4 linked regions of the Saccharomyces cerevisiae S288C genome follow. The protein of the gene in region 2 binds, or shares a complex with, the protein of the main gene of each other region. Each region holds a gene or a part of one and is shown on either strand. Other genes may lie near its edges. A codon is read from its position in the direction of its gene.

Region 1 (4,416 bases), on a different chromosome or scaffold from region 2:
GTCATTGTAGCAACATAATTTCCTGGAAATTTTAAGGGAATATATTTCTTTCCGCCCACAAACACAAAGGGCGTTTAGTAAATTATGCGGCGATGTATAAAAGAGAAAGCAGGCAAAAAGAAAATGAAAAATGAGACTATGAACTTTAAGAATTATGTCTTGACTAATTTTTTAAAACCCATCATCCATGAAGAGTTCTGTTTGTATTGTTTACGTTTGATGTTTGAAGTGAATTTAATAGAATTGTTCCTCTTTTTTTCTTCTTTTTTTAACTATAATATAATGTTTAGTATATCAACAGTACTATTTAGGCCTTAGACTTTCTATGAACTCTCTCTTACTCTGTGAGTAGTTGGTAAATTCGTTTTCGTATTGATCTTCCTCAGCAATTTCCCCGATATTGCCCACATCATAGTTATTCTGTAATTTGTATAAATCCTTATCTTTATCTGTTATTGCAGACCTGCTATCCTTTACCGAGTGGTCAGCATCCATTCCTTCGTTATCTTTATCAAAAGTGTTTGGTAACTGTGATTGAGCCGCACTTTTGGGTGTTGCAAACACATCCTCTAGGGCATCGCGCTTATTTACCGATGTTATAGAGGAATTCCTTGTATGGAAGGACGCGTTTGAAATGTTACCATTTAAAAACGAGGATGAAGCTCTCCTTGGGTAATACGAACCAAAGTCCTGATTCTGCAAATTTCTTATCAGATTTTCATTACTAGATTGGCGAGTATTATGTTTAAGTTCTATCATCGAAGCTTTGTTTTGGTCATTGCTAGTATTAGTATCACTGGAAGGATCTGCGAAAAAGTTTGGTCCTTCATCAGAAATAACAGGGACCATCTGATCATAAACGCTGATCTGTCTCTTTGTTATATGCCGTTGGGAAGATGATAAGGAAACATTGGAGCTGTTATTTATACTTGGTAAATCCACAACGGACTTCTGCCTGGCATTATTGCCGTAGTTATTATTTCGTACTTGAAGTAAATTTATTTTCCTACGGTATGCTGGCACATAGTATTTACTATTCTTTTTCCCTAACGGTTTCTCTTGATCTCGCGATTTTCCATCTTTTTCTTCTGGATGAGCAGATCCTTCCGATGAACCAGAAGTGTGATCAGGATTTTTTAGCTCGGAGCTGGCTAGTGCTGCTTCATCTTTACTGTCTCTTAAGGGTCCAAAATTGTCAAAGGACACGAAACCACTTTCATCATAAATAGCCCTTTCCAATTCTCTATCGTCTTGTTCCTCCCTCTTGTATCTTTTTTGTAGGTTAAACCAGAAACATACTGCTATTATAATACCTACACCGACGGGTATACCCACCGCACAACCCACCGCAACTGATGTGCTGGCAGTCATCTCTTTTACTTCTTACTACGATGAGCTCCCAAAAAAAAAATATATCCCTGATAAATAACACAAAACTAAGAAGCCGGACCTAGGTGAAGAGTAAAATAAGGACTCGAAATTTTGTCTAATACTCAATAACTCAGTACAAAAACTGCCTCACAGTATAAAATATCCAACTTAGAGATATTCGTTTTAATTGTCCCGAGCAGGCAAACGATAACTGATCCTTAGTCACAATAATAAGTCTATGCTTTCTGTTGAAAAAGAACAAATAGCGAGCGAGTCAGCAAGCAGAATCTAAAGAGGCTTGCAACGAATGGTAGGCAAAGAATTTCTAACCCGAAACCTCAAGCGAATGGTGGATTCCTTACTTCCAATCTTCTAAAAGTCTTTAACTCTGATTTCGAGGATCAGTACTTTTTCTATGGTTTATTAATATCGGCCTCGAAAAGTTTGTCGCGAGAATTTGGGCACATGTGACCCGGAATGTATATTGAGTAATATAAGAATGAGAACAATAATGTCAATAATCACACGTCGTTATAAGCAGCTGAAAAATTATAAGATAATATCAAAAAAAATGCTACAGATCAACTCCAGGCTTGCAGTTATTGATGGATGGCTGGTAGACACTGTGAAGCGAAAACCAATAAATTTTCGGAGTCCTGAAGTAAGATTACTGTTACCCAATGACGATGACTACAAAAAGCTATCACAACAAAACTTGGTGGACTGGACGCGATTAAAGAAGGATTCTAATTCGGTGCTCGTTGGAGTGAAATCTATGGAACTATTTAAACACATAAAGCTAGTTTTGCGAGAGTTTTTCTTGTTAGAAGATGGAAGAATAATTCTGAAGAGGATCAGAAGCAAATTACGTTACAAAGTTGTCAAGAAATTAACTTGTAAATGCTGCAGGTTATATTTACCAAAATGGGGCACCGTGTACATACATCCGATGCTAAAAGATAAAGAAAAGCCCTTAGCGGGGGTATGTGAATTTTCATTGGATGTAAACCCTGATCGGGAGTATCCCCTTATTGAGATCAATGTTAGTCATCAATACATTATAATTGAGGGCTTCCTTCTATACTTAAATGAAAGGAGGCTCTATAGGTGGAACGATAACAATTTGAGGAGTCAGGTTGGCTTAACAAAATGGGCCCATTTAAGAAAAACTTACAATCCGGTAAGCCTTGACATACTTTATAGTTTGAATTCAAATTTTTATTTTGTAAAGGATGATCTGCTATTTCAATTATTAGGAAAGAGGGTATTTGTTAAATTTTGTAAAGTAATGGAAAATGGAAAATGCGGTAAGGCTCCACTGTGGTATCGTGTGAAGAGAACGACAACTGCCAAAGCAACACATATTGCATATGCCATATCAAATTCAACAGCCCCAGATTCATTCAAAAGTAAAAATAACGATTATAGGTTTATTGTCAGGGAAAAGCCAATTGTGGAGAATACTATCTCCAACCTGGATTATTCAGACATAAAAAAACAGCAGTTTACTGAAGCAGAGGTTGTAAAAAGAAAGATCTCAGCAGATATTTCTCAAATAGAGAATGTGCATACGCAATTTAATAGTCAAAAGGAAAAAAATAATATCAGGGTGAATAAGGTTTCTAGCGAGGTCCTAGATCAAATTTCGAAATTTCCTGTGTCCAGAGTCACCTTACTGTTGATGTCTGCTGGTCAAGATAAAAATTATATTGAACTTGTTGAAGAATTGGCAAGAAGGTTGGAAAAAATATGCATAGAAAAAACCACACAATCTTTAGAAGAGATAAGGGATACTTTTCAGGCGAATCCTGAGATGCAGGCTAGCTTTGATAAGGAATATTACCAGAGCATTGAAGAATATAAAATTACACTCGAACTTATTAAGGAAGACCTTTTGATTACTCTGATAAAACAAATGGAAAATATGTGGGCAGCTGAAAAAAAGTTTAGTACAGAGGAGGAGTATGTTTCGCCGAGGTTTTTAGTAGCAGATGGATTTCTAATCGACCTAGCAGAGGAAAAACCGATTAACCCAAAGGATCCGCGCTTACTGACACTGCTAAAAGATCATCAGCGTGCCATGATTGACCAAATGAATTTAGTTAAGTGGAATGACTTCAAAAAATATCAAGATCCTATCCCGCTGAAAGCCAAAACCTTATTTAAATTTTGTAAACAAATAAAGAAAAAATTCCTACGAGGTGCGGACTTCAAGTTACATACATTACCTACAGAAGCAAATTTAAAGTATGAGCCGGAGCGGATGACAGTTTTGTGTTCCTGTGTCCCTATTCTTTTGGATGACCAAACTGTCCAATATCTGTATGATGACAGCATTATTCCTGAATTTGAAGCAACATCTTCATATGCAACAAAGCAGTCAAAGTGTGGGCGGAAAATGTCTTTGCAAATGGAGCCTGACCTCCTTTTTCAAGAGGCCATTAGACGGATGCGACATTTAACTGCTTATGACGTTTTGAGAAGAAACTATATTGCGGCATTTGAGGAGCTATATATGGGAAACTGTAACGATTAAATAGTTGGTAAGATTATCAGTTATGGATACCAACATATAAGCGGGTGATGTCTCATTTCAATGAGGTCAGATAACTGGTACAGTTTCGCCTTTAATACACTTGTTTGACAGAAACTTGTTTTTAATTGCTTGATTAGCTAAGTAACTCGAGCCGTACTGTAGTACCGTTAAATATATATTATGTAGGACTTAGTAGAATATACTAATAATAGATACTGCAATTGATGATCCCAATTACTGTTTTATTGACTAACTTTCACTGAAATGTTTTCATTCTCTGATTTTATATTTAGTTGGCGAACTAGCTCATCCTAATTATAATTAAACTTATATATAGCATAAACCGACAATAATGCGTGGGTGGTCCTCCATGCCGAATTTGTGAACTGAATTATTATCTAAGCACTGGATCGATCACCTTAAGATGATATATTATTTATAACTAAAACGCAGCAGCATTACACTCCAGAGTAACTCCTGAATTTCGTCATGGCATGTACTTATACTAT
Region 2 (5,228 bases):
AAAGTACGATTTACTAATAGACTTAGACCCGGAATATCAGGAACAAATCTCGAGAACGAGTATGAAGTATGCACAGGTCATGAATGCTCCTCTTATATTCTGCTCTACTGCCAAATCTATAAACATTCAAAAAATTTTCAAAATTGCACTGGCAAAGATCTTTAATTTGACATTAACCATCCCAGAAATCAATGAAATCGGCGATCCTCTTTTGATATATAAGCACCTAGGTGGCCAGCAACATCGACATCATAACAAAAGTCAGGATAGAAAGAGCCATAATATCAGGAAGCCCTCCTCGTCGCCCTCATCTAAGGCACCATCGCCGGGCGTTAATACATGAAAACAACTATACCCGCCTGCTACCATGTGAGAGTTGGCGTTAGCATATTTTAAATCAAGCTACACAATAGCTTTAAGGAGATATAGAAGGTATGTACATCCACAATATCGTATGTTTTGGATAAATGCGCTACTATGTAGGTATATGTATGTGTATGCTAGGTCATGAATAATAAAAACCGAATCTATAAATTTCTCAATGTCTCATCCTCATTCATGGCTCTTTTGGCTTCTTCTACTGATATATTTAGCTTGACACAACATATTCTATCGTTCTTCATAGTTTGTTTAAACAATATTCCCGCGTCAAGTAACTGATTGAGAACGAAATCCCATGATATAATTCTCAATTGTTCAGAAATATTATCACTTCCCTGTTGGAACAATGTTTTGGCTATCTCCATGACAAACTTATTACTGCCATTTACTTCAATAAGTAACTTGATTTCATCGACAATATCGCCCAGTTCTTGCTCTTGAGATCCGTTCTTTTTCATCAAGTTTAATAATGCATAAATAAACAGTTTTGCTGTAAATGAAAGTCGCGTCATAAACGTAATTACATGAGAATTTAAAGTTTCGTTTAAGGCTTTCATAACGTGCGTGATGTGAACTGTTTGTACCCCATCATTGTCATCATCGTCATCATTATCGTCTTTGGCTTTGTTACTTTCAATAAGATCCTTGTCTTCATCATCGTATATTTGCTCCTCATTTTCATCTTCAATAACCGTCTTTCCATCATATCCATAACCATGCTTAGCCATATAGTGTTTTTCAGCAATTTCAGCTGCTCTTTTACAAACCTTCAATGCTCTTCTTGCATCACCACTAACACTTGCTACTTTTCTCGAAGCTATTTCAATGGCATCAGCACTCATTCTTAAGCGAACTTTCCTCACGTCTTCAGGCAACGTTTGCTTAACTGTAGTGTCGTTTCCAGCCGCATCAATCAAAATAGCATTGCCAGTTTTTGTATCAACATAGAAAAATGAGTCGTTCAACCCCTTCAGTCTTAAATCAATGATATTTTTTAGCTCTTCGTGCGTATACCCAGTGAACATAATTCTGGTAAACCCAATTCTTGAAGTAATCTTATTGCCTAGCTGACGTTCTGGTAAGTCCATTGTATTGGCTACTGCAATGACAATAAGTTTGGCATTTTCGTAAGTAGTCCAATTGAAAAAATTGTACATAATATCTTGAGATTTCGTTACCATGGCATCGAGTTCGTCCAACAAGACTACAATGGTTTTCTTCTTATTTTTTGGAACTCTTTTAAAGTAAAACTCTAGTGACTCCATTGAAGCTGCCCATGTTAACCTTTCTCCTGACACTTTGTTCCATAAAGTTTCGTAACAGTCTGTGGGTTTTACCATTTTCAATCCATTTATTTCCACATAAAGAAAGTCTGGTATTTCTCGTTGTGCAGAAGACGATAGTAGTTCCTTTACGACTTCCCTTACGGTTAAAGTTTTCCCTACACCAGGCGTACCAGCCACGTATATAGTAGTAGCGGAGTCGGACTCAATGGCACTATATGCACTTAAATAAATTGAGGCGAATTCATTCTCCCTAGCCGGTAAATAATCTTGGAAATTTGCAGACTTCAATATTTCTTCTTTGACATACGAAGAGTTCAACTGTTTTTTGACTTTAGAAAAAATTGTTTCTACAATCTGATGCTTTTGGGTTGTTTTTAATTTGTTTTCAAACCTTGATGCCATCAATTCCGAAGAATTTCCGTAAAATTCAGGTAATGAAGTTAAATCTGGTATTGCAGCTATAGATTTAAATCTTTTCGAAAACGGGGTATATTTCTTTTTCGCCCTAGCAACATTCTTTTTTGTAAATTTCCTAATCACAGGAGTATTATTTGCACGGCATGAAGATATCAATAGCATCTGACGCGGTTTACTAGGATCTTTAGGTTTACGACCTCTTTTTTTGGGGGGAGGTTGTACAGAAGCGTCAATATCATCTTTACCTAGTTTTATCTTACGGCCTCTTTTCCTTGGTGAATTTGTATGCCTAGCTTCTTTCTCTTCTTCGTCTTCGTCTTCTTCTTCGTCTTCTTCTTCCTCAAGCTCATCTGCGGATATTTCACCGCTGTCCATATCCTCGCTAACGTCGATATCTGACGGACTTTCATAATCAGATGATTCATCTTCATTACCGTCCTCATTATCCGTTATATCTGTAGCTCTTGTTTCTGCGTCTGAAATTTGTGCCGTTTGAGTAGCCTTATCTTTCTTTTGAGGACCTCTTTTGATCTCTTTCTTCTTTGATGGAAGTGTTAAATCTTTCAAATATTCCTGGGCTTCCCTTGGCTCCACTTTCTTTATGTAAGCTTTGACATCCTCAATATTAATGTCCACAAATTTCTCCCCAGTCGGCTCACAAATATAACGAACTGTAAAGTCTCTTTCTGGATCGACATTTCCTTTCAATACTTCCCATTTGCTTCCATCCATTACGTTGGCAACCCTGATAAAGTTAAATAGCTGCAATTCGGCTAATTCTGCAGTGAGATACAGTTCATTTTTATTTGCAGTTTCAGAAAACAGTTTATTGTAATAATTTAAAGGACGATTCAAAATGTTAGCGTCAGGATTAAACTGCCTATAATGAGCTAAAGGATTGACTTCAAACCATCGTAAATAGGTGAGAGCCCAGAGTTCGACAACATTATTTAATGTATTAAGTCTCAACTCCTGGATCATATAAACGGAGTAAGTCCCAGCGGCTTCGTTGTGCATGACTACACTATCACCACGACCTAGTTTAATTCCATCAGAACTTCTCTTTAAGTAATGTTCAGTTTTTGCACCTCTTCGGCGTAATCTCTTCTGACCTCCATCGATTATATTTCCCTGCTCATCAGTTGTTATTATCTCCCAACCCTGTAAATCCTTCAACGTTTTTGCCATCTTATCTACTCTATTGTGGTTTTTGTAATGAGTATTAATCAATAGGGAATGAGTTCCTGCTTCTGGAAACTTTTAGGCTGAATTTGCCGCCTATGCAGTTTTCTTTCCCTTTGCGCAACTTCATCTCTTCTCAATGTTGTTGTTTTTCTATGATTTTCGATCTGGCCGTGTCAACGTTAATAAAAAATAAGTCGAGGAAGAGAGTAGTTACATATGTAGTGGTGTTCGTTGGTGCAATATTTGTTGATATAACGATGAGACAGGTCACCAAAGAATTTCAAATATTTGAGGTTTATATCTTTTCTAATTTGGCGCCAAGTTATTATCCTGTGATACCCAGTAAGACAAAAAATGCCCCATAGCAGTCCTTATCTTAATACTGACCATTATGAAGGGGCTTACATTGTACAAACATATTTGTAATAGAATGTACCGGATATTTAAAATAACCCAAGCATCAATTGTGTAGTATTCTTAATTTTTTTTCTTGGTAAATTTTTGGGAGAACATTTTTTTGTGTCATCTTAGGGGAAATTATAAACCATTATACACTCCATACCATGCACTTACTTAAATTCTATGGACACATCCATCAATTAAAAGATAAAACTAATAAATAGAAGCATGTTATATATGAATATATATATTCTTTCTGTCATAATATAAAAGGGCGAGCATGTTATTCCCTAAACGTCTGATTGTGTGGGGTGTTCTATTGATTTTAAGTTTATCACAATTTGTCCTCTACCTGCCAGCCACAACATGTACGAACTCTAAGGGACTTAGGTTATGCGCTCCACAGTTTACTATAACTGTGATTGGAGGATCCAGTACTGCAAATGAGTTTATTGCAAGTGTAAGAGAATTTCTGCGATTGATTTCGTACCTGACAATTGACATGGGTTGGTCGAATGAATTCACTGATCCAAGTGTGTATGAGGATGAAAATTTGGTGGACACATTTCAGCCTGATAAGGTTTTTGAGCTCAATTATTTTGGATTTTGTAAACGGAGTAATAAAAGCAAAGTTTATTGTACCTCTAATGAGAATTATGGCATGGACGTACTTGAAGTACTTGTCAGAGACGTCGGGATTCAATTAGGTAACATTTCCACTACACGATCGAATGAAACCAAAAAATTCGGAGACTCTCTCGTATTGACCTACCGTTTGGCATTGACATCTATTCGTGATTTTTTGAAACACGACAAGCACACAGGAAATGCCCTATCAAAGGCTTTGATTGGCAGTCCTGATCCAAATGTAAAAGGCGTGTCACCAACAAAAAACTATCTGAAAGGCGTCAACCTGGCATTTATACTGATGATGTTCAACGGCATGGTTTTTTACTTTGCAGTGTTGGAAATAATAGTCGGATTCCTCAGTATCTGCGTAGTGTCAGCCTTTGGGGGAGCACTTAGTGTTGGGAAACGACACCGCTTATTTCCTATGCTTTTGAAGTCATCAAGTTCAATATTAGTTGTTATTGCTACATTGACAATATTATGTAACATCGTATATTTGATTGCACTGAAAACATTAGAACCTGAAGAGGTAACAGACGTAGGATCTGACAACGCTGCTGTACACACTACAGGCTGGGAACTGTTAAAAGTAAACGTGGGAAGTGGGTTCATTATGGGGCTCGCCAGGTATGCCATCCAGTGGGTCCTATTGGTACTCGCATTTCTTGCAGCAAATCATTACAAAGCTAAGCCCAAAAAGTCTGATAAGTATACAGAAGACACATCTAACTCCCCTTCTCCAGACTTGATGGAGAAGTAATTCACCACAGAACTTTTTTTTCAAATGACAGTAAATATGTAAACATATACACAGCCTTTCAGTATATTAAGTATTTTTGCATAACGTCCTTTTTTCCCGCTCGGTCAAGGCTTTGAAAAGATATTATCAATGTTCTATTCTTACTGAGAAAAGCGTTCCTCCAAAATGCT
Region 3 (3,910 bases), on a different chromosome or scaffold from region 2:
AAGCAGAAGAGATAGATATAACTACAGAGTTAGAGAAGATCAGTAGACCAATAAGCGGGATTATCATAAAACTCGAGTTTATATTAGCTTTCATCTGTCTTTAGGAAAATAATACCATAATAAAAAGGACACATCATGGCTCCACCAAAGAAAACCGTAAAGAAGATGGACCTTACGTCATTTTTAAATGATGACACCTTTGGTTCATCTTGGGCTGAAGAAGATGTCGATTTGAATAAGATCACAATTCCTATTGAAACCGCTAATGCAAACACTATTCCATTGTCCGAATTGGCTCATGCTAAAAACAACAGCAATAACACGCGTTCAGGCGGCTTTGGTGGCAGTTTTGGAGGTAGATCTAGATTAGACCCTGCTTTGGGGGGCGGTTCTTCCGATAGAAGAGAGGAATACCCTGTTCCAGATGCTCCACCATATAGGGCTGTCATAAACAACATTCCATGGGATATTACCCCAGAGGGTGTTCAAGCCTGGGTTGAAGATGGTTTAGTTAAGCCTGAAGCGGTTGAAGAAGTTGTTTTGCCAAAGAATCTAAGAGACCCAACAAGATTAAAGGGTAATGCTTTCGTTACTTTGAAAGAAAGAGCAGATTTGGTCGCCGTTCTGAAGTTCAACGGTACTAAATTGAATGAGAGAACTGTTTACGTTTCTGTTGCGGCTCCAAGAAGAGGGGGAGGTGCAGATGTTGATTGGAGTAGTGCTAGAGGCTCCAATTTCCAAGGTGATGGAAGAGAAGATGCACCAGATCTTGATTGGGGTGCCGCTAGAGGTTCTAACTTCAGAGGTCCAAGAAGAGAAAGAGAAGAAGTTGATATTGACTGGACTGCTGCAAGAGGTTCCAATTTCCAAGGCTCTTCCAGACCACCAAGAAGAGAAAGAGAAGAAGTTGATATCGACTGGAGCGCTGCAAGAGGCTCCAATTTCCAAGGCTCTTCCAGACCACCAAGAAGAGAAAGAGAAGAGCCAGATATTGACTGGAGTGCAGCTAGAGGCTCTAACTTTCAAAGCTCCTCGAGGCCACCAAGAAGAGAAAGAGAAGAGCCAGATATTGACTGGAGTGCAGCCAGAGGTTCCAACTTCCAAAGCTCCTCAAGACCACCAAGAAGAGAAAGAGAAAAGGAAGAACCAGCTTTGGATTGGGGTGCTGCCAGAGGTGCTCAGTTTGGTAAGCCTCAACAAACCAAAAATACCTACAAGGATAGGTCTCTAACTAACAAAAAGACTACTGATGAGCAACCAAAAATCCAGAAGTCTGTTTATGATGTTTTACGTACTGAAGATGATGATGAAGATGAAGAGGCTGAAAAGCAAAATGGAGACGCAAAAGAAAACAAAGTTGATGCGGCAGTTGAAAAGCTACAGGATAAAACTGCTCAATTGACTGTTGAAGATGGTGACAATTGGGAAGTTGTTGGTAAGAAATAGAGTGTTGTATGATGATAAAATGTACATTTGTATTTACTGTTTGCTTTTTTTCTTTCTTGTTTTTCTACTCTCCTTTCTACCAGGTATTCTAACTCTATTATATAATTAAAAAAAAAATAACCATATATTTTGTATTAAGTTTCATACATGTGTTCAAGTGTATTTTTGGATTTATCATTTTTCTATGTGAGGTAAGTTTTTGAATGTCCCATTTTCCTTTCGTTTTTGGAAAGTTCTAAGAAAAAGCATTAACAATTAAAAAAAAAAAAAAAATCTAAATAATACTGATAGAAATATCAAATATAAACTACTAATATCGGTAATATTCAAAAGAAGAAGCATGACTATAAGCGAAGCTCGTCTATCACCGCAAGTCAATCTTCTCCCAATAAAGAGGCACTCAAACGAAGAGGTAGAGGAGACTGCAGCGATTCTAAAAAAGCGTACTATAGATAATGAAAAGTGTAAAGACAGCGACCCTGGTTTTGGTTCCCTTCAAAGAAGGTTACTGCAGCAACTTTATGGCACACTTCCTACGGACGAAAAGATAATCTTCACATATTTACAAGATTGTCAACAAGAGATCGATAGAATCATTAAACAATCCATTATTCAGAAAGAGAGTCATTCAGTAATTCTCGTGGGGCCCAGACAAAGTTACAAAACATACTTATTAGACTATGAACTGTCTTTGTTGCAACAATCTTATAAAGAGCAGTTTATAACTATCAGGTTGAATGGGTTTATTCACTCCGAACAAACAGCTATTAACGGTATAGCAACTCAATTGGAACAGCAGTTGCAGAAAATTCATGGCAGTGAAGAAAAAATTGACGATACTTCATTAGAGACTATTAGCAGTGGTTCTTTGACAGAAGTGTTTGAGAAAATTCTTTTACTCTTAGATTCGACCACGAAGACAAGAAATGAAGATAGTGGTGAGGTTGACAGAGAGAGTATAACAAAGATAACAGTTGTTTTTATATTCGATGAAATTGATACATTTGCTGGGCCTGTGAGGCAAACTTTATTATACAATCTTTTTGACATGGTAGAACATTCTCGGGTACCTGTTTGCATTTTTGGCTGCACAACGAAATTAAATATCTTGGAATATTTAGAAAAGAGGGTAAAGAGTAGATTTTCTCAAAGAGTGATTTATATGCCGCAAATACAGAATCTAGACGATATGGTTGACGCCGTCAGAAATTTACTTACAGTTCGCTCTGAAATCTCCCCCTGGGTTTCACAATGGAATGAAACGTTGGAAAAAGAACTATCCGACCCTCGATCGAATTTGAATAGACATATTAGGATGAATTTCGAAACCTTTAGGTCATTACCTACATTGAAAAATAGCATAATTCCATTAGTAGCGACATCCAAAAATTTTGGTTCACTCTGCACTGCCATAAAATCGTGTTCTTTTCTTGACATATACAATAAGAACCAACTATCTAATAATTTAACAGGAAGGCTCCAATCTTTATCCGATTTAGAGTTAGCCATTTTGATCTCAGCCGCTAGGGTTGCCTTAAGGGCGAAAGACGGATCTTTTAATTTTAATTTAGCTTATGCAGAGTATGAAAAGATGATTAAAGCTATCAACTCCAGAATTCCCACCGTGGCTCCTACTACAAATGTGGGAACAGGTCAAAGTACTTTTTCTATCGACAATACTATCAAACTATGGTTGAAAAAGGACGTCAAGAACGTTTGGGAAAATTTAGTGCAACTGGATTTTTTTACCGAGAAATCAGCCGTTGGTTTGAGAGATAATGCGACCGCAGCATTTTACGCTAGCAATTATCAATTTCAGGGCACCATGATCCCGTTTGACTTGAGAAGTTACCAGATGCAGATCATTCTTCAGGAATTAAGAAGAATTATCCCCAAATCTAATATGTACTACTCCTGGACACAACTGTGAATCTTGGGAACAATATACAGACATTTTATTGGCGGTAGCAACTCTGATATTCCACTGTTCAGCTTTCCTAATAAGTAAGTTCAAGATTATGTGGTCATCGCGTCGAACGGAAATACACCCATACACCAAACCTCTGTGAATTTGAAAAATTCACATATGCATTTAATAGAGCATAGGCAATGTAGAGAGAGAAATTAACAATGGTGAAAAGAAATATTACCAAACACCAGCAAAAGAAATTGTATAGTATTAGCAGTACATTCGTGGTCAAGCAGAATAACAGTAAAATAATATGAGTGATAATGGTTCCCCCGCGGTTCTTCCAAAAACCGAATTTAATAAATACAAAATCGGCAAAGTGAAGAGTACACCAGCCATCCAGCGAGATGCGAAGACTAACTTAACATACATCAAACTAAGAAAAAGAAGTAGTGAGAAAGTTTACGGGTGTACAGTTTTCCAGAATCATTATCGTGAGGATGAAAAATTAGGACAAGGAACATTTGGTGAGGTTTATAAGGGAATTCATTTAGA
Region 4 (3,972 bases), on a different chromosome or scaffold from region 2:
TTCGCCGGTCTCAACGGCAGCAAGTGCTCAGCAGATGGAAATTATACGTTAATACTTTTTCCAATGTGATATAACGAAAAATTAGATACTGTGAATTGTGTTTGCCACCTTGATGTTGACTTAGTATTTCCTCTCGGTTGTAAAAGCCAAGAAGGTTTGACTGTTCGTCAATTAAGGTTCTTACGTGGGTTGTGCTAGATACGACGCGAATCAGTATGGTTTCTATCTGCCAATCATATCGGTTCTCTTCCATGGGCTAGAACAGATGAATTCTAGCTCTTTTTTAGCTGGACCAGTAAGGTTCAAATGGTATTTGATAATAGAGAATCACATATCTCCTTGTCCATTTCTGAAAGTATTAATTCAGTCATATCCAACTAGTCACAAACATCCGCATAGGCTTGATAAAACTCACAAGTGGCAGATTCCGAATTATGTGTCATATTGGGGTCATATTAGGACCTTCATTTCAGAATTGCTTCTGCTCCAATAAACTTTTTTTGATCCAAAAATCGTCTGATATAACGGGCGATGTCAATTGAATAATAAAACGGGTTCTATCTATTTTCTTGATCTTTGAAACCAAAACAGTTAGCAGGCAAGTGCAAACAAGTTGTCAATTGCACTCTGTTAACGAAAAAAATATATCTCATCTCCGCCGGTCTTCTTTGGTGGATATATATTACTCCTCCTTAAAGGTCATGCTCCTTTTTATGGGTTCTCGTCGTAATAATCCTGAAATTGTAAAATAATTTAGAGCTCAACACCACCATTGAGAACGTAGAATTTCAATTTTTAAGCTGATTCTCTTTCTGCATGAACTCTCCTAGCAATGTGAAACTTCTCTTAAGGGAAATTTTCGCCTTTTTGAATGGGCATACTTGGCCAAAAATTCAGGATTGAATATATATAATCGGAACTTGTATGGATAAAAATTTATATCAAGAGTCTGTTTCTTAATTGGATTTGCTGTGATCTAGTATTGAGATGACTATAAACCGGCCAGGAAATTAGTCTTTTCGAAGCTGGTTTTGGTTTCGCAAGAGTCTTTTTGACAGCTTTTTGGCCTCAATTTGTATTCCCTTAATACGCTTCTTCAACTCTGTCTTAGAGACCATTTCTCCAGTGGCCTCATCTAGGTGTAAACTAGCAATAGCGTCACTAGCTGCCGTGACATTAACTTGCTGTGGCACCTTTATATGTAATATGAACCATCTTTCAATGGATCATAAGAATAAGTGTCGTAAAAGGCCAAATATCCATGCATAAATATCGACTTATTCGCGTAAATGTGATATGGATCAGCTAGTACCAATTTCTAGTCTAGCAAAATCGGGAAAATTTTTCAGAACACCCACTCACCGCATCATTGAGGTGGAAATGACAATAGTAAGCAGAATTGTTATTCTTCACAATGTGTAAAAGTTATAAAGAAATAGGAACCACCTTTAAATTAAGACAAAGTAGAATATATTAGCTGAAATTGTATTTGATAATTGATCATTGATCTTATTTGCTATATCTTTAAAACAAGTTTTTGTAGTACTGCGAATTGCCATAACATGCTAAATGGGGAAGACTTTGTAGAGCATAATGATATCCTATCGTCTCCGGCAAAAAGCAGGAATGTAACCCCAAAAAGGGTTGACCCACATGGAGAAAGACAACTGAGAAGAATTCATTCATCAAAGAAGAATTTGTTGGAAAGAATCTCGCTTGTAGGCAACGAAAGGAAAAATACATCTCCAGATCCGGCACTCAAACCTAAAACGCCAAGTAAAGCTCCCCGTAAACGTGGAAGACCAAGAAAGATACAGGAAGAATTAACTGATAGGATCAAGAAGGATGAGAAAGATACAATTTCCTCTAAGAAAAAGAGGAAATTGGACAAAGATACATCAGGTAATGTCAATGAGGAAAGCAAGACTTCTAACAACAAGCAGGTGATGGAAAAGACGGGGATAAAAGAGAAAAGAGAACGCGAAAAAATACAGGTAGCGACCACAACATATGAAGATAATGTGACTCCACAAACTGATGATAATTTTGTATCAAATTCACCCGAGCCACCAGAACCTGCAACACCATCTAAGAAGTCTTTAACCACTAATCATGATTTTACTTCGCCCCTAAAGCAAATTATAATGAATAATTTAAAAGAATATAAAGACTCAACCTCCCCAGGTAAATTAACCTTGAGTAGAAATTTTACTCCAACCCCTGTACCGAAAAATAAAAAGCTCTACCAAACTTCGGAAACCAAGTCAGCAAGCTCGTTTTTGGATACTTTTGAAGGATATTTCGACCAAAGAAAAATTGTCAGAACTAATGCGAAGTCAAGGCACACCATGTCAATGGCACCTGACGTTACCAGAGAAGAGTTTTCCCTAGTATCAAACTTTTTCAACGAAAATTTTCAAAAACGTCCCAGGCAAAAGTTATTTGAAATTCAGAAAAAAATGTTTCCCCAGTATTGGTTTGAATTGACTCAAGGATTCTCCTTATTATTTTATGGTGTAGGTTCGAAACGTAATTTTTTGGAAGAGTTTGCCATTGACTACTTGTCTCCGAAAATCGCGTACTCGCAACTGGCTTATGAGAATGAATTACAACAAAACAAACCTGTAAATTCCATCCCATGCCTTATTTTAAATGGTTACAACCCTAGCTGTAACTATCGTGACGTCTTCAAAGAGATTACCGATCTTTTGGTCCCCGCTGAGTTGACAAGAAGCGAAACTAAGTACTGGGGCAATCATGTGATTTTGCAGATCCAAAAGATGATTGATTTCTACAAAAATCAACCTTTAGATATCAAATTAATACTTGTAGTGCATAATCTGGATGGTCCTAGCATAAGGAAAAACACTTTTCAGACGATGCTAAGCTTCCTCTCCGTCATCAGACAAATCGCCATAGTCGCCTCTACAGACCACATTTACGCTCCGCTCCTCTGGGACAACATGAAGGCCCAAAACTACAACTTTGTCTTTCATGATATTTCGAATTTTGAACCGTCGACAGTCGAGTCTACGTTCCAAGATGTGATGAAGATGGGTAAAAGCGATACCAGCAGTGGTGCTGAAGGTGCGAAATACGTCTTACAATCACTTACTGTGAACTCCAAGAAGATGTATAAGTTGCTTATTGAAACACAAATGCAGAATATGGGGAATCTATCCGCTAACACAGGTCCTAAGCGTGGTACTCAAAGAACTGGAGTAGAACTTAAACTTTTCAACCATCTCTGTGCCGCTGATTTTATTGCTTCTAATGAGATAGCTCTAAGGTCGATGCTTAGAGAATTCATAGAACATAAAATGGCCAACATAACTAAGAACAATTCTGGAATGGAAATTATTTGGGTACCCTACACGTATGCGGAACTTGAAAAACTTCTGAAAACCGTTTTAAATACTCTATAAATGTATACATATCACGAACAATTGTAATAGTACTAGGCTTGCTAGCTTTGCTTTCCCATAACCAACAATACTTAGTGATGTATCTTAAAACGACTAAAAAACTTCTCATATAACCCTACTGAAAAACGTCTGATGAGCTCTTCGAAAATTCAGACGAGTTATGACCTATATTTGTTTTTCATTTTTTTTAGGTGAACCCCGCCATTCTGAAAATGCCCTATTCAGAGCTCAATAACCGAAAAAACTTAAAAATACTGAATAAAAGCCATAATCCTATGAACCCCCTTTCTTGAATGAGTAAATTCAATAGCATTGTTGAATCAGAATCGGTGCCTCGGGAGCATAAGCAACACAGGACATCATAGAGATAATTTTAGTTGCCATTCATTTTTTGCTATTACGTTTTCCCAAGCTCTTGTTTTCGTCCCTGTCGCCTGTTATTTTCTTTCTAATTAGCACTGATCATGTCGATCACGAATGGTACTTCTAGAAGCGTTTCGGCAATGGGCCATCCGGCGGTAGAGAGGTACACTCCAGGCCATATTGT

The links.
Region 1: the proteins of ORC1 (region 2) and SIR1 are in contact, whole or in part, in a crystal structure (PDB 1ZHI), measured with the Saccharomyces cerevisiae proteins. Residues at the interface, in NP_013646.1 of Saccharomyces cerevisiae: Glu61 (codon at 3,092), Ala62 (codon at 3,089), Ala63 (codon at 3,086), Gly64 (codon at 3,083), Thr65 (codon at 3,080), Tyr66 (codon at 3,077), Arg92 (codon at 2,999), Trp93 (codon at 2,996), Phe94 (codon at 2,993), Val96 (codon at 2,987), Pro98 (codon at 2,981), Leu116 (codon at 2,927), Asn117 (codon at 2,924), Asn120 (codon at 2,915), Lys121 (codon at 2,912), Ser124 (codon at 2,903), Glu125 (codon at 2,900); in NP_013027.4 of Saccharomyces cerevisiae: Glu463 (codon at 3,329), Glu464 (codon at 3,332), Tyr465 (codon at 3,335), Val466 (codon at 3,338), Ser467 (codon at 3,341), Pro468 (codon at 3,344), Arg469 (codon at 3,347), Leu480 (codon at 3,380), Ala481 (codon at 3,383), Glu482 (codon at 3,386), Arg492 (codon at 3,416), Thr495 (codon at 3,425), Leu496 (codon at 3,428), His500 (codon at 3,440), Met504 (codon at 3,452).
Region 3: ORC1 (region 2) and ORC4 share a complex: the UniProt entries of both Saccharomyces cerevisiae proteins name them as parts of the origin recognition complex.
Region 4: ORC1 (region 2) and ORC2 share a complex: the UniProt entries of both Saccharomyces cerevisiae proteins name them as parts of the origin recognition complex.

The regions. Positions count from the first base shown.
Region 1 is NC_001143.9:638,598-643,013, forward strand, and holds SIR1 (Sir1p), read left to right. Parts: upstream 1-1,942; coding exon 1,943-3,907; downstream 3,908-4,416. Other genes in the region: SKG1 (Skg1p), read right to left, coding at 304-1,371. UniProt on the Saccharomyces cerevisiae protein: Involved in the establishment, but not the maintenance, of heterochromatic silencing at the cryptic mating-type loci HMR and HML.
Region 2 is NC_001145.3:140,254-145,481, reverse strand, and holds ORC1 (origin recognition complex subunit 1), read right to left. Parts: upstream 3,273-5,228; coding exon 528-3,272; downstream 1-527. Other genes in the region: Ras family GTPase TEM1, read left to right, coding at 1-343; SMA2 (Sma2p), read left to right, coding at 3,949-5,058. UniProt on the Saccharomyces cerevisiae protein: Component of the origin recognition complex (ORC) that binds origins of replication. It has a role in both chromosomal replication and mating type transcriptional silencing. Binds to the ARS consensus sequence (ACS) of origins of replication.
Region 3 is NC_001148.4:866,181-870,090, reverse strand, and holds ORC4 (origin recognition complex subunit 4), read left to right. Parts: upstream 1-1,786; coding exon 1,787-3,376; downstream 3,377-3,910. Other genes in the region: TIF3 (Tif3p), read left to right, coding at 136-1,446; cyclin-dependent serine/threonine protein kinase SGV1, read left to right, coding at 3,669-3,910. UniProt on the Saccharomyces cerevisiae protein: Component of the origin recognition complex (ORC) that binds origins of replication. It has a role in both chromosomal replication and mating type transcriptional silencing. Binds to the ARS consensus sequence (ACS) of origins of replication.
Region 4 is NC_001134.8:360,105-364,076, reverse strand, and holds ORC2 (origin recognition complex subunit 2), read left to right. Parts: upstream 1-1,562; coding exon 1,563-3,425; downstream 3,426-3,972. Other genes in the region: serine/threonine protein kinase AKL1, read left to right, coding at 3,890-3,972. UniProt on the Saccharomyces cerevisiae protein: Component of the origin recognition complex (ORC) that binds origins of replication. It has a role in both chromosomal replication and mating type transcriptional silencing. Binds to the ARS consensus sequence (ACS) of origins of replication.